Linked DNA regions of Stegostoma tigrinum. The protein of the gene in region 2 purifies or fractionates together with the protein of the main gene of each other region. This does not show direct contact. Links are inferred from orthologs where the notes say so. Each region holds a gene or a part of one and is shown on either strand. Other genes may lie near its edges.

The links.
Region 1: the proteins of bromodomain and PHD finger-containing protein 3-like (region 2) and kat7b purify together in Homo sapiens (affinity purification with mass spectrometry; 3 studies listed by BioGRID and IntAct, counting the BioPlex papers as one, with this or other methods). This does not show direct contact. The link is inferred for Stegostoma tigrinum from reciprocal best matches to the Homo sapiens genes BRPF3 and KAT7.

Annotation. Positions count from the first base shown.
Region 1 is NC_081384.1:23,490,168-23,497,907, forward strand, and holds the start of kat7b (histone acetyltransferase KAT7), read right to left. Parts: upstream 3,349-7,740; 5' UTR 3,200-3,348; coding exon of another isoform or gene 3,185-3,199; intron 1-3,184. UniProt on the Homo sapiens protein: Catalytic subunit of histone acetyltransferase HBO1 complexes, which specifically mediate acetylation of histone H3 at 'Lys-14' (H3K14ac), thereby regulating various processes, such as gene transcription, protein ubiquitination, immune regulation, stem cell pluripotent and self-renewal maintenance and embryonic development.
Region 2 is NC_081374.1:26,928,284-26,936,469, forward strand, and holds the start of bromodomain and PHD finger-containing protein 3-like, read right to left. Parts: upstream 3,264-8,186; 5' UTR 2,981-3,263; intron 2,833-2,980; exon of another isoform or gene 2,727-2,832; intron 2,501-2,726; exon of another isoform or gene 2,433-2,500; intron 1-2,432. UniProt on the Homo sapiens protein: Scaffold subunit of various histone acetyltransferase (HAT) complexes, such as the MOZ/MORF and HBO1 complexes, which have a histone H3 acetyltransferase activity.

The DNA.
Region 1 (7,740 bases), on a different chromosome or scaffold from region 2:
AGGAACGTTAGGAGCAAATCATTTCCTGTTTATGTAGTCAAAAGAAAAATAACATGACAAACTAGTGCAGATTATCAAAGTAGGAATAACAATACTGGTATCTACCCAACATTGATAATAGCCCACGTATGAACTATATACAAAAAGTAGGATAAATGCAAACTGGTTAATTACTGCCCAATCAGTCTGCTGTTGCTTATCAGCAGTGATGGTAGGGGTCAGCAGCAGGGCTGACAAACAACACTCGATTAGCAACAACCTGCTCATTTGGGATCCATCGGGGCCACTCAGCTCCTGACCTCATTATAGTCTTGGCTCAAACATGGATAAAGGAGATGAGTTCCAGAGGTGAGGTGAGGTAAGAGTGACAGCCCTTGACATCAAGGCCATGTCCGACAGTGTGTTAAACTAAGGAGCCATATCAAAACTAATATCAACGACAATCAGAGGCAACTTGCCACTAGTCTGAGTCATTGTCACCAAAAAGAAATATAGCTGTCATTGTTGGAGGTCAGTCATTTCAGCTCAAGGGCATCATTGCAGGACTTGCAGGGTAGATTTTTTTAATTAACTTGATCAGACATCTTATGACACACCTCCAGAGCAAGTGGGACTTATACCCAGGTCTCAGGCCCAGAATTAGGGACACCAGTTCGACAGCTCAAGAAGCCTGAAGTTTCTTAGCATAGTGTTCTAGGTCCAATCATCTTCAACTGCTTCGTTAAGAACCTTCCTCCCAATATGAAATCAGACACAGATGTTTACTCAAGATTAAATAATGTTCAGCAACATATACGTGATACCTCACACACTGAAGAAGTTCTTGCCCAAATACAGCAAGTTCAGAAATCAAACGACAGCAGATTATAGACCAAGGTTAAGGTTTTACAACGTTGCCTTCACCTGATAATAATCTGGTGGCATCTGATTTCTGACCTTGTTCACCCCGGTCAAATACTGGCACCTCCAGATCAAATTCAGCAAGATCTGGGTGATATCCAGGCTTGGGATGATAAGTGAGAAGTAGCATTCATGTCAAACTAATGCTAGGAAATGAACATCTCATTGACAGAATCTAACCATCAATGAATTCCCTACTAGCATCATCCTGGGGTAAGCACTCACTGAAAACTGAACCAGTCACACAAATATTGTGGCTGTTAGAGCAGATCAGATGCTAGGGATCTTGCAGCGAATAGCTTACTTAAGTTTCCTCAAAGACCGTTTATCATCTACAAAGCACAAGTCAGGAGTATATTGAAATACTCTTAGCTTGCCTGGATAAGTACAGATCCAACACCACCCAATATGTTTGACACCATCCAAGAATTAGAAGCCAACCTGATTGGCACCATATCCGTAAATATTCACTCCCTCTACCACAGACGCACAGCACTACACAGAATCTCCTGCAAAAGTTCACCAGGTCTCCATAGACAGCTCCTTCCAAACCCAAGATCGTTATCATCTAGATGTGCAAGGGCAGCAGGTACCTGGGAGCACCAATATCTGCAACTTGCCCTCCAACTTACCTTCCGCCATGTCTTGGAACAATTTTGCCATTCATTCAGTGGCATTGGGTCAAAGTACATCAGCAAATGGACTGCTGTGGTTCAAGAAGGCAGCTAACCTTTTCGATTGCACTTAGGAATGAACGATAAATGCTGGCCCAGCCAATCAACCTTACACCCACAGAATCACTTTTATCTAACAAGAATTGCACCAGTTACTGTGGCAGCCTGATAATTCTAGTGTCATTTCAGAACCATTTTAACTCCAACGAAGACTGCTATTAGATAAATTACAAATTGGCAACATATCAAGCAGCACGATCCATGCCAAACACGTGAATGCAACACCGTTAATCACCTGCAGTACTGAGGAAGTGCTGTTGTTTGGATACAACAGTAAATGCTCCATCAACTCTAACAAAGAACAAGGGATTATCCCCAGCATCCTGGCCAATACTATCCCTCAAACAACATCGCAGAAAATAAATGAACTATTCTGCTATTCGTGACGGCTTGCTGAGCTCACACTTGGGTGTTTCTTAGTGATTGCATTTCAAAAGTAGTTCAACGGCTGTACATATTTGGGAACCTCCGGAGGCTGTGAAAGACACTCTTTATTTTCACTTTACAACTGAAGAACCAAATTGTCAAAGGAAGGCGCATCAAGGGAAAGGCTCACAGTAATCATACAGTACTGACAGCAATCAGAAATATGAAGAAAACCTACTGTATTGAATTAATTAAATTAACCTAAGCACTGGCTTCTCCTTTACCACTGTCATTTATTACTGGGTCCCAGTACAGACAGCAATGGTTCAAACTAAACAGAAGTTGCTGGAAAAGATCAGCTGGTCTGGCAGCATCTGAGAAGGAAAAAAAAGTTAACGTTTCGGGCCCAGTCAGTCTTCCTCAGAATTTTAACTTTTTTTTCCCTTCATAGATGCTGCCAGACCTGCTTAGCCTTTCCAGCAACTTTGTTTTTGTTCCTGATTTACAGCATCCTCAGTTCTTTTGGTTCTTATTTAGCAATAGATTAAAGCGCGCTGTATTAGGTTATGTTGGTAGCAGACAACAAATTCTAACTGTGCGACAATGCTGATCGCTTATCACTAGTCAGTCAACCGAACTGTAACTACGTTCGGTGGCGTGGTGTGGTGCCTTGTCTTGTTTCGGCTGACCCAGCCCCCCACTGCCCAGAAGCAGCTGCCACTGTTGCTTTTGCACAAACCGCTTCCACCCTCCAACAGACCCGGGGGCGGGGCGGCGACTATCCGCCAGCCAATCATATGGCGGGAACGCCGGCATAGCCTTGATTGACAGAGGTCGCTGCCAATAGAATGAGCGAGGGGCGGGTCCGCGCGCGCCACTGGGACCTTGGCAGGCCCGGCGCCAAGCAGCGGTTTCTCGTATTTTCCATGGGGCCGGCAGGAAACGAGAGAAGCTCCGTCCCATCCCGTCTCCTCTCTCCCCTTCCCTTAAAATGGCATGTCCGGCCCGTCAAGGGGTGAGTCAGACCTTGAGCCTTCCCTCTCCCTGAGATTCCGGCAGAAAAACAAGTCACCGGGGAGGAGGAGGATGGAGAATGGTGGCGGCGAGAGGATTACAATAAATCCTGCCACCCAGGGAATGGAGGGTGAGATTGTAATTCAGCCGCGGCCTACAGGAACGCTCACCTTTCTCCGCGGCATCCTGCTCCCCTTACACCTCAGTAAGCCACTACTCGCTGTCCCCAGGACCGACTCCGCTTCTTCACAAAAAAATACAATCCCGAACCACTCGCGCCGTTGGCCGTTGTTGTTTTCCGCCACTTCCGGTCCGAGCGGAAGGTAATAGCAGTGGTGTTCCGGCTGCTCCGCGCTTTCAGTTCCTCTTGGTGGGACGGGGCCGGGGGACCGGAGCGGAGTGTGCACCAAATTAGCTGGCCGAGGCTGGAAGCTCTCATTAGCACTAAGGCAGCACCGGTAGAGACAAACAGCAATGTTCACGCTTCTGGCCGATGGTCTTTTAACGTGCGTGCGTGGGTGGGCGGGTGTTTTATTGTCAAGCGGGTGCTGAGGCAGATATTTCTCAAACTTGGTTCAGAGAAAGTAGGAACTGCAGATGCTGGAGAATCTGAGGTAACAAGATGTAGAGCTGGATGAACGCGGCAGGCCAAGCAGCAGAGGAGCCGGAAAGCTGATGTTTCGGTTCTGGACTTTTCTCCAGAAGGGTTTCATCTTGTTATGTCTATTTCTCAAACTTTCCTCGATCTTCGTCGGGATGGTTCAGAGAAGCGGGGTTAGAAACGGAGCTGCAAATTAGAATAATCCTCCTGAAGAGAAGTCATACCAGACTCAAAACATTAACTCTGTTTCTGTCTCCACAGATGCTGCCAGACTTGTTGAGTGTTTCCAGCAACTTCTGTTCTTATTTCAAATTTCCATCATCTGCAACTCTGTTTTATTTTGTTGTTTCCCTGTGCCCAAGTGGACATCCATGTTTAGCCTACTTTATACATACATAGACATGGTAGTTCAGAAATTAAAACTGCAAATGCTGAAAAAACTCTGTCTTCCGGCAGCAGCAGAGGGTCAAGTAAAGTCAATGTTTTAGTTTGATAATCCTTCAGAATTCTGGCATCCACTGTATTATCTACAGATGCAGGAGACCATCTGTAATTTTATCATCTTAATGGGTAAGATTAAGCAAAAATTTAACTCACTTTTTGTAGGAATTAGAAATAATTCAGTCCTAGGACTCGATGGACAATCTCAGTACTATACTGGTGAGAATTAAGGGGAAATCAGTGTTGAATTTGGCATTGTGTGCCTTCTATTTGATAGAGTATGTTTCTATTTAGCTTCCTTTAAATCATCTTAAATTCAGACAGCCCAAATAATAATGACTGAGAATCTATTCTACCTTTTGGAGTCTTGGAAAGCTGTAGCACTGTTTTCCCAACAATACTTTCAACAAATGTGACCATCAGATCATTGTTGCGAATAGCACATTGATGTGACTTCAGACTTCCATCAGCTGATGGCAAGTTGTCAATCAGAAGGTCTCTGAGCCAGTCTCACACCTTTGACACTTCCCAACCTGAACTCATGTAAAACTGTTGCTCTTTTCCTAACTTGCATCCAGACCGTATGTATGAGTCCTGTACTCATTGCTTATCTGTAAGTAAATGTAGGCCAAACACCTTAAATTTAAAATTCTGGTCTTTGTTTTAATTCTTCCTTGGCTCTGTCTCTCACTGTCACCTTCTCAAATTCTGTTCACGTGTTCTGCATACTCAGATTTTAATTACTGTCACTGGTGGTCATGCTTTCAGCTTCCTGGGCCCCGGCCACTGGAACCTCCGTACCTCTGTCTTCCTTACAAATGTTCCGAAAAATGAAATGTCTTTGGGTCACATGTCCTGATAGGTAGCTCTATGTCAAATTTTGTTTGTTGGCACTCCTATGAAGTGTCTTGAGATGTTTTACTGGATTAGGGACACTATATAAATATAAATTGTTTTTCTTGTACGGTAGTAGCAGCAAAAATGTATGATTATTTAATAGGTGATAAATTAAGATAGGTTGGCTATTTGCCTGTTTATCTTCTAACCTTGGAGAAAAGACTGAAATAACTATGGTCTGTAGCTGTGAGACTGGAAAAGCACAGCAGGTAAGACAGCATCCGAGGAACTGATAATTGAACATTTCAGGCCAAACTTTTAGTTATACCTGCTGCTTGGATGCTCTCTGACCTGCTATGCTTTTTCAGATTTACACCTATAAACTCTGGCTTCTGGCAACTGCAGTCCTTATTTGTCTCCAAGTCACTGAAATAATCCTAATCTTAGGAAGATAGAATATTTTCATAGTATCTTTGCCTTTGCAAGATTGCAATCCCCTTGGGTTTGGGCCCTTATTTGTTGTGTGCAGTTTATTCTTCGAAAAAAACCTTTCGTCGTTACACATAGGTCCTAAAAAAGAATACAAAACTTGAAAGTCTCATTTCAAATTGACATAATAAATTAGATTTTGAATGCCTCCTGCTGGCCTTTTAAGATAACAATCTTTTTGAACGTAGTATCAGAGATAATGGGAACTGCAGATGCTGGAGATTCCAAGATAATAAAATGTGAGGCTGGATGAACACAGCAGGCCAAGCAGCATCTCAGGAGCACAAAAGCTGACGTTTCGGGCCTAGACCCTTCATCAGAGAGGGGGATGGGGGGAGGGAACTGGAATAAATAGGGAGAGAGGGGGAGGCGGACCGAAGATGGAGAGTAAAGAAGATAGGTGGAGAAGGTGTGGGTGGGGAGGTAGGGAGGGGATAGGTCAGTCCAGGGAAGACGGACAGGTCAAGGAGGTGGGATGAGGTTAGTAGGTAGCTGGGGGTGCGGCTTGGGGTGGGAGGAAGGGATGGGTGAGAGGAAGAACCGGTTAGGTAGGCAGAGACAGGTTGGACTGGTTTTGGGATGCAGTGGGTGGGGGGGAAGAGCTGGGCTGGTTGTGTGGTGCAGTGGGGGGAGGGGATGAACTGGGCTGGTTTAGGGATGCAGTGGGGGAAGGGGAGATTTTGAAACTGGTGAAGTCCACATTGATACCATATGGCTGCAGGGTTCCCAGGCGGCCTCCTACCCTCCCTCGACCTCTTCATCTCCAACTGCCGTCGAGACATTAACCGCCTCAACCTCTCCACCCCTCTCACCCACTCCAACCTCTCCCCCGCAGAACGGGCAGCCCTCCGCTCCAACCCCAACCTCACCATCAAACCCGCAGACAAGGGTGGCGCAGTGGTAGTATGGCGTACTGACCTCTACATCGCCGAGGCCAGACGCCAACTCTCCGACACCACCTCCTACCGCCTCCTCGATCATGACCCCACACCCGAGCACCAAACCATCATCTCCAACACCATTCATGACCTCATCACCTCAGGGGACCTCCCACCCACAGCCTCCAACCTCATTGTTCCCCAACCCCGCACGGCCCGTTTCTATCTCCTTCCCAAAATCCACAAACCTGCCTGCCCTGGTCGACCCATCGTCTCAGCCTGCTCCTGCCCCACCGAACTCATCTCCACCTATCTGGACTCCATTTTCTCCCCTTTGGTCCAGGAACTCCCCACCTATGTCCGTGACACCACCCACGCCCTCCACCTCCTCCAGAACTTCCAATTCCCTGGCCCCCAACACCTCATATTCACCATGGACGTCCAGTCCCTGTACACCTGCATTCCGCATGGAGATGGCCTCAAGGCCCTCCGCTTCTTCCTGTCCCGCAGGCCCGACCAGGCCCCCTCCACCGACACTCTCATCCGCCTAGCGGAACTCGTCCTCACACTCAACAACTTCTCTTTTGACTCCTCCCACTTCCTACAGACTAAGGGGGTGGCCATGGGCACCCGCATGGGCCCCAGCTATGCCTGCCTCTTTGTAGGTTACGTGGAACAGTCCATCTTCCGCACCTACACAGGCCCCAAACCCCACCTCTTCCTCCGGTACATTGATGACTGTATCGGCGCCGCCTCTTGCTCCCCAGAGGAGCTCAAACAGTTCATCCACTTCACCAACACCTTCCACCCCAACCTTCAGTTCACCTGGGCCATCTCCAGCACATCCCTCACCTTCCTGGACCTCTCAGTCTCCATCTCAGGCAACCAGCTTGTAACTGATGTCCATTTCAAGCCCACCGACTCCCACAGCTACCTAGAATACACCTCCTCCCACCCACCCTCCTGCAAAAATTCCATCCCCTATTCCCAATTCCTCCGCCTCCGCCGCATCTGCTCCCAGGATAAGACATTCCACTCCCGCACATCCCAGATGTCCAAGTTCTTCAAGGACCGCAACTTCCCCCCCACGGTGATTGAGAACGCCCTTGACCGCGTCTCCCGCATTTCCCGCGACACATCCCTCACACCCCGCCCCCGCCACAACCGCCCCAAGAGGATCCCCCTCGTTCTCACACACCACCCTACCAACCTCCGGATACAACGCATCATCCTCCGACACTTCCGCCATTTACAATCCGACCCCACCACCCAAGACATTTTTCCATCCCCACCCCTGTCTGCTTTCCGGAGAGACCACTCTCTCCGTGACTCCCTTGTTCGCTCCACACTGCCCTCCAACCCCACCACACCCAGCACCTTCCCCTGCAACCGCAGGAAATGCTACACTTGTCCCCACACCTCCTCCCTCACCCCCATCCCAGGCCCCAAGATGACATTCCACATTAAGCAGAGGTTCACC
Region 2 (8,186 bases):
AGAACGAAATAGACAGACAATGGGATTATTGATAGTAAGCCAGAACAGAGAAAAAGCTAAGTGATAATAACGGCTGGCAAACCATGATAGGTTCATTAGGGGTGGAAAGGAGGAAAGTGAAGGAAGATTTAATTAGTTTTTTTTAAAAAAGCCTTTCATATGGGGAATTACATAAATAATGGAAATTCCCCCACCTCATTTTCACCTTAACTACAAACTCCCTTTAGGTTTATGTACAGATAGCCCATTTCCTCAACAGACAGAACGATCACTATAATCCCGAGTATGAAAACTTCTCACCACCATCACAAAAACTCAACAGGACTTATCCTTTAATCTGCAAACCCAGGCCTGTTTGATAAACTATACACACCTACGCATATCATGCATCTATCTTATATGTAAAAATCACAGTTGTTCAACTTAAAATGTCTAATCAGCATCTCTAACAAAGTCACTTCCATTTAGTGCGAAGAAGAAAATTTTCCAACATGTTAAAAATTGCAACAGTACTTACAATCCATAGCACAGCACATGGCTATTAAAGTTTTAACTTCAGCATTCAGAACGGGGTAGTAATGATGCCTTTGATTTTTCTGATTTTTCTCTACTTATAGCATACATGTAGTCACAAGCAGTTACAAACAGGTCATAAAATGTTGACTAAACCTTTCTACTTCTCTATCAAAAAATAAAACAGCTGAAGGAAAACATCACAAAAAATCAGACTGAAAGGCAAACAGAAATTCTCTTCATACTCTACATCCAAGTATCGGAACCAAACACAACCTCGAGCAGGAAATCAAAGAGGGGAATGTTTTTGTTGTTGCACCAACTACACTGTACTTGTATTGGCATATTAAAATCCAGTTATTTCATTAACACTATAAATTAATTGACTTGCAAACGTAGAGATCTCTATTTTCACAATTTCCTTCTTAATATAAATAACTAGAGGTAATTCACAGATGTAGGAAACATTGTTGGGCAAATGGATCACATGATATACATTGTTGCAGATGGCTTTTTGCAAGTTACAGTGTTTTACAGACTTTTCTAATCAATCTGTTCAGATTTTAATCATGCAAGAGGCCTTCTAGCTCACAACTAAAGACACTACTACCACCACCAATGCAGAGCAGAAATGGAGATAAGTAAATACTTTATATTACTTTTAAAATAAAGGAATACTTCCCAGTGATTTCTGCACAGGATATTATTTCTAGAACCTCTCACTACAAAAAAAGTTTAAAAGCCATATACACAAGTTGTTTGCACAATTCAGTTAAGTACTTTAGAAATGATTAAAAAGACATATTAGCATTCAATAGATAACAGGAACTGCAGATGCTGGAGATTCTGAGATAACAAGATGTAGAGGTGGATGAACACAGCAGGCCAAGCAGCGAGAGGAGCAGAAGGTTTCTGAGGAAGGGTCTAGGCCCAAAACGTCAGCCTTCCTGCTCATCTCACGCTGCTTGGCCTACTGTGTTCATCCAGCTCTACATCTTGTTTTCTTCGCATTCAATAGCTAAGGCACTCCTTTCAAGCAAAAGATTCTTTGAAACATAATTCAGTTACTCGCATAGATTTTTTTTAAAAATCATGAGCAAAAGTCAGAAAAAAGGAGTTTCAATTGGTTTATATTATTTTGAAATATCTTCTACAACATGTTGCTTTGCCCATCAATACAAATCGTCAGTAAAATAGTAAATCGAACTGCTTATGACATCTGTACAGAGATTTTACGAACTTAGCCACTTCATTCAAATTTACTTAGGTCCAGGATCCCATTAACGTCGCTATTTATCAATAAATCTGGATTATTTTATTTAAAGTACGGGCTGTACATGTTCTGAATTGCCTGTTCATTTTGTTTACCTCACTACAAACGAAATGAAACGAAATACAAATGAAAAGAAGGCCCAAAAACAAAACTCGAGCGTTCAAGACATCACAAGTCCTTCGTGAGCAGAAGACACTGCGCGAAAACGGGCGCTCGATTTAAATCGGGTTACCGCTGAACGTGTCCGGTTCATGTATAGTAGGTACTAATGGTGTACTTTATTCCACAAGTTAGACCCCGCTGTCACATTACTAGGGGTTGGACATTGTTGACGTGGCCGGAGGACCCCAACTCAGTCCTTTGTCTGTTTCCCCCATTGCACTGTGTCGGGCTCTGACACCAACTCAACTGGACACTCGTGCCAGCTCAGCTGTTCGATGACGTCGAGACGGGGAGGGGGTTCAAAAGGTGGCTGACGTCACCGCAGCAAACTAGTTTCCCGGGCCCATTTGAAAGTCCCTCTTGGCAGCAATGGACACCTAGTCCAGCCGCCATAAGGCTCATATTCCCATACCTTTCCAACTCTCTCCCCTCCCCACCCCCCCCCAACAAATGTATACTTCAACCCCTAAACAATAACACCCACCTGAAACCATGTTTCAGCAAACCACCCCTCCACTCCCGGCGTGAACCCCTCGCCACCTCCCTCCCAAACAGCACGAAGAATTTTCTAGAATCTCTTTTCATCAACCGACCCACCATCAATACACTCGCCCCCTCCCCCAAAGCCTACACCAAGCAACGACTCAACCGACCCACTAATAGGCGCGTGCAAAATTGATAGGCGCTCCAGCCAATAGACGCCAGGGTTCATCTTCACTCAGCGCCAATCAAGAAACAGCTTACCCTCGACTGACCAATTGGAGAAGGCGGGACTTACCGTGCTTGGCTCCACCCCAGTTCGGCTGGACGGAGAGAATTTACTGTAGAACAAGATGGCGACTATTTCCACAACAAGCGACCTTCTCCATTCCCCCCCCGCCAAAGCATATTAATTACAGACCTCTAACGGCTTATCTGAGTGCGTTTCACTCGCGGCCGATGGCAGCGGCGCGACCCAAAAGCTCACGGCTTCACTTTCCAACCCGCAAATAACCGAATATCCAGAAACGCGTAAAAACAAACGCCATTTACCTTGAATGCAAAGTCGGGCAGGGAGAGGCAGAGAAGGGGGGGGGAAGCGAAATCACTTTCCGGGACACAAATAATTACAAATAGCACCGAAGCGCCTGGTAAATGCCGTTCCGTGCCCACGGTTCAACGCTTAATATGTCGTCTTCTTGGTACGGAGCGCTTCATATTGCGCCCGCAAATGTGTCAGGGCGAGAAAGGCGGACTTTTAATGGAGATTTGAGTGCGAGGAACAGTACGTAAGATAGCGGTAGAAACGCGAACCTTTTGCCGCTGTTGTTGGGGACGGGGGGGAGGGGGTTGTGGGTGGTGGTGTTACTGGTGTGGGGGGAGGGGAGTTGGGGGGGTTTGGTGGAAGAGAAAAAAAACTCTTTTCAATCAGAGGCCGGACACGCCCCTGCGCATGACCCGAGCGATCGCGGAAACCCCGTGCAGGGGCAGCAACCGGGGGGGGGGGGGGGGGCGCGCGCGCGAGAGGAGGGGTGCGGGAATGGGGAGATTCAGCCTGGGGTGGGTGCTGCCCCTACTCTCTCACACAAACACAACGTCCCCGCTCCTCCACATCAGCGACTGGCCGCTCCCCCTTGAATCTGACTGCATTTTTGCTAGGCTTCGAATAACGGGCGGGCGGTGCTTCCCTCCCCCTGCACAAACGCTATTTTTCTGTTCTCCCCCCTCGCTAAGCGAAAGATCGAGCGTTATCCATCTCTCCCGCTGTTCCTACTTCATGTTAGCAGTAAAGTGTGAGGCTATTGCAGAACCAAACGCTCCCATTTAAAAATCCCCAGGAACAGTTTACCGAGGCCTGAAAAAAAAGTTACTTTTTGAAACCCAAGGTTGGGGGATTGCCACACTTAAGACAACCAGAGGTCATTCGCAAAAGTGGAAGAAAATTATCACCTCAAAGTACCACTACGGATTGTACATGTTATCTTTTGCCTTCAAAGTGTTTATACTTAATTCTTCCCGCCTCGGCCGTGTTTTTATCGCTTCGATTTTGAATTAAAATTGCCATAAGATTGTCTATAAATAAACTAGGGTACTTGAAATGTTCCGAATGTGTCAAATTACTGGAGTTGCAAACCAACGATTGTTGAGGACAGCAGTTGGTTGTTTTGCTTGGCTGGTTGGAAAATTCCTCGTAATGGAAATAAATTGTGGTTACACGAATGAAGGGAAATGCATAATGCAACAAGTTTGATCAGCCTCGCAGCTTCAGTCGAAGTCCACTACTGCACGAAACACTCCTGCTCCGACTGAGCATAGAATAGCACCAAAAGTGCAAAAAGTCTCAACCAATTATTAAAAAAACGCGGGAGATCGTGCTATATGATTACAATTAACCAATGAGAGTATGGCCAAATGATCTATCACGTGATTCCTATTGGCCAATAAGTTGATAAGCCTGATAACTTGCGTTAAAAAAAATCTTAGTAGGATGAATGGATTACGATTCACTATGGCCTGGGCGGTGTGAGAAAAGTAGATATTGGAGCGTTTAGCGGTAAATCAAATTTTGATAGCAGGGTGACAAAACGGGTGCTGACACCACAGATGCATACAGCTCAGCTTTTGAAAGACCTAGCTCTTTCTCATTTTTTTAATAGTTGAATTAACGCTGCGCACAATCATAGAATGGGATAGGTAACGTAGTATTTGGGTCAGGCTAACGTTTTGAGTCTAAATGTCTTCTTCAGAGCTGGAGAGCGTAGGGGACAGCATTTAAGCCATAGTTTAGGCTAAGGTGGGTTGTGGGGGTCGTGGATTTGGAATGTTAGTAGAGGAAAAAAAATCTTGGTAGTTTAGGTTAAGTGGTTAGAATGGCAGAACAATGGTGTGTCTCCTGCCGGACTTGAAAGGGCTGACAGTCCCACTAACGTGAGATTACCGGACAGAGGACATGGTAGCAGAATGCAACATGCTAAAATGGAAGAAATGGTTCATAGTTTGAAGGTGATGAACCCAGTGTAAAGTCCAGAAGGCTGTAAGATACCTATTCTGAAGATAGGATGAGATGTTGTTCCTCCAGTGTACGTTGTGATTCACTAGAATACTGCAACATGCTGAGGACTGACATGCAGGCATGTGAGCAGGATGTGGTGTTAAAATGGCTGGCTATGGGAAGTTTGGGGTCATGCTTGTGCAGAAACCCAAGGTGTTCTGCAGAGTAGTCACCCAGTTTGTGCTTGGTTTCCCTAATGTAGAAGGGACTATGCTGGGTGCAGAGAATACAATGCACAAGATTGGAGGAGGTACAGGTGAAATGCTGCTTCACCTGGGAAGACTGTTTAGGCCCTTGGATAATGAGCAAAGAGTAGGTGAAGAGGCAGATGTTGCACTTTCTGCAGTTACTTGGGAAGGTGCCATGGTTTGGGATGCATGTGGTGATGTTGGTGATTGCAGAATGGACTAGTGTGTGATGGTCTTGAATGACCATGTGGATCATATGAAAGCTAACAGTGTGGGAGCAAAATGTGCCCAGCTTCTCGACAGCCTTACTGACTGTTCTGAAACCCCAGGGGTCTTGCTTGCCATCAAGAGGTGAAAATACCCAAGAATCTGAGATGGACATAGTGTATATCACTGCCTCAATCCCTTTGCTAGGTGAAGAAAATGCATTTCTTATGAAATTGTCCACGTGTAAGAGGTGAGCTACCTGTGTATTACATATTGTCCATACCAGAGGCAGAGTTGGAGGAACCTGACCTGGTGCTAAAATGTATAAGAATGGGCCCATGTCCTCAGATTATAGCAGAGATTGTAACAAGGTCAGCCAGGTGGACCTTAGTTCCCTGACTGGGGCTGTTACTCTGGTCCAGCCAAGGAGCCCTAGTACATAGATTATAAACAGGAGTGTCCTGTTAATTGAGAACTGTTTGAGGGAGCTGGATCAGTGTCAAGGGTTCTCCATATAGAAATAAAGGTGACTTGGTGACTGGATACTGGACCCCAGGGGAGTTACTTCATCTGCCTGTTGACTGATCTTCAGTCCATCCTAATATATTCCCTCCAATATCATGCACCTTTAAATTTTGATTACTGACCTGTGTTGAGTTTTCAGGAATTTTTTTAATAAAGTTCAAACGAAAGCCACACCCACTGGTTCCTGTTAATCAACTTTGCTAATAATATGAACAATACTCTTTATCAGATTTGTCAAACATGATCTTTCATTCATAGCTACACATTGTCTAATCAGATGATGATTTTCTAAATATTCAGTAATCACATCCTTTATTTTCCCAATTACTTATGTCAAACTAACATCTAGTTCTGTGTCATCTCTTCCCTACTTTCCTTAAACAATGGGGTTACATTTGTTATAGAGGCAGGCAGGCATCATTATATAATTAGTAGAATTTGAGAGATGATTCCCAATGCTTCCACTATCTCTAGCCATCCACCTCAACATTAGGGCGAAGGTCATTGGGTCCTAAGGATTTGTCAACTTGTAGTCAGAGTAATTTCTCCAATGATCCCTATTTTTACTGAGGCATTTCTCAGAGCAGTCCTTAGCCACACCAATGATCTTCCCTACATCCTATGTTCAGAATTACTCCAAGTTATGAAGGATGGTTCAATATATAAACAAACAAAATAGGTGCTGCAGCAGGCCATTTGGCCCCTTGAACTTGCATTCCCATTCAATAAGGTCATAGCTGATCTGTTTGTATTTCAAATTCCCACTTCTATGTTGTCCACATCCCATACAATATTTTTAAAACATAATATGTTTTGCTAAAACAATACCTAACAAAAAAACTTGCATTTGTGTTTGGCAATACTATCTAAATTAACTGACTGTGGAAAACCTGTTTTATATATTGTATCTTTGGTGTTAAATAACTACATTTAGATTAAGTTCACTCCTTTTTCTGATCTTGAAAACATCCTCCCAACCTGTAATGCATTTTAATTTTATTACTCAATTTTGATACAAAATAAAGAATGGTGGAGAAAACAAGCAGTGTGTTCCCAATTTAAATAAAATTAAAAGATTCCACATGTAAAGAAAATAATTTGTAAATTCTTGCATTTCCTCTAAGCCGCCTTTGGTTAATCACCACAACTACAATGAAAAAAAATTCCACTGAACTTATTCATATTAAAGTACTTATATAGCAACTCTAAGAAAGAAACAATTTTTCTACTTTTTCAACATGCACAATGCAAAGTCAACATGGTAATGTATAAAAAAAATCCATGTTATAGTCTAGTTTGTTAGTTTTGCCATGTGCATTGTTTTGCTAAGACAGAAAACAACATTGAACAATTTCATCAAGTCTTAGAATTCACCGTTATAATTTCTGCCTTTGTATCTCTTGGAGTGAAACCTCAGCATACAAAACTATCAAAACTGGTTAGAAAAATAAATTGGATTTAGATTGGTCTAAATTTACCTACCATTTTATGTGGCTAATGCTTATTGATACTTGTTTGTTTAATCTAAGACAGCTATAAGTAAAAATAAATACAAAAAGTTTTGGTTCTTCTAAGAAACTGTCATTTTAAATAAAACAGATGAAAGACATCAGCTTCAATTGCAAATTTCCTGCCTTGTCTAATGCCACTATCCAATTGTTTTTCTTGGCAATAGTTCGGTTGCTGAACCTGTAATCTCCAACGGAAGTAGTTTCAAGCAAATAAAAGTAATAGTGAAAATGCTGAAGTTTTTTTTTAACCAGGCCAAACACTTCTATGGGCATTACTTCATTTCCTGCAGTTCTTACTATCTCTTCATATGTAGATTTTTTTTAAATGAGTTGCCAGTACATGTAGACGAAAAGTGCAGCAATTTTAGGCATATTAATGTTTGACAGATGAATAACAGATGAATAACCAATTGACCTCTCATTCCTAATGCTGGTCAAGAGAATGATTATAGAAAAACTTACTTTTCTTCAAGTTGTGGTATGAGATTTTAATGCCCTTTTGAATCAAAGAATTGACAGATGCCACCATGGTTTAACTTTTTATTTGCAGGCTGGCACCTCCAACAATGCAGTACTCCTGCAATATGGTAATACATCGTCAGTGATGCTACAAGTATCAGTGTTGTACTTTTTGGCTTCCATGATTCTTAGTTGGTTAGTTCTTAGTATATATCTAGTTCTCTGCATCTCAATGATCAAGATAAATTTAAAGTATGCCCTGTGCATCAATAAAGAGTGTGTTTTCGTTCATTGGAGGTGGTTGTTTTTAAGATTTC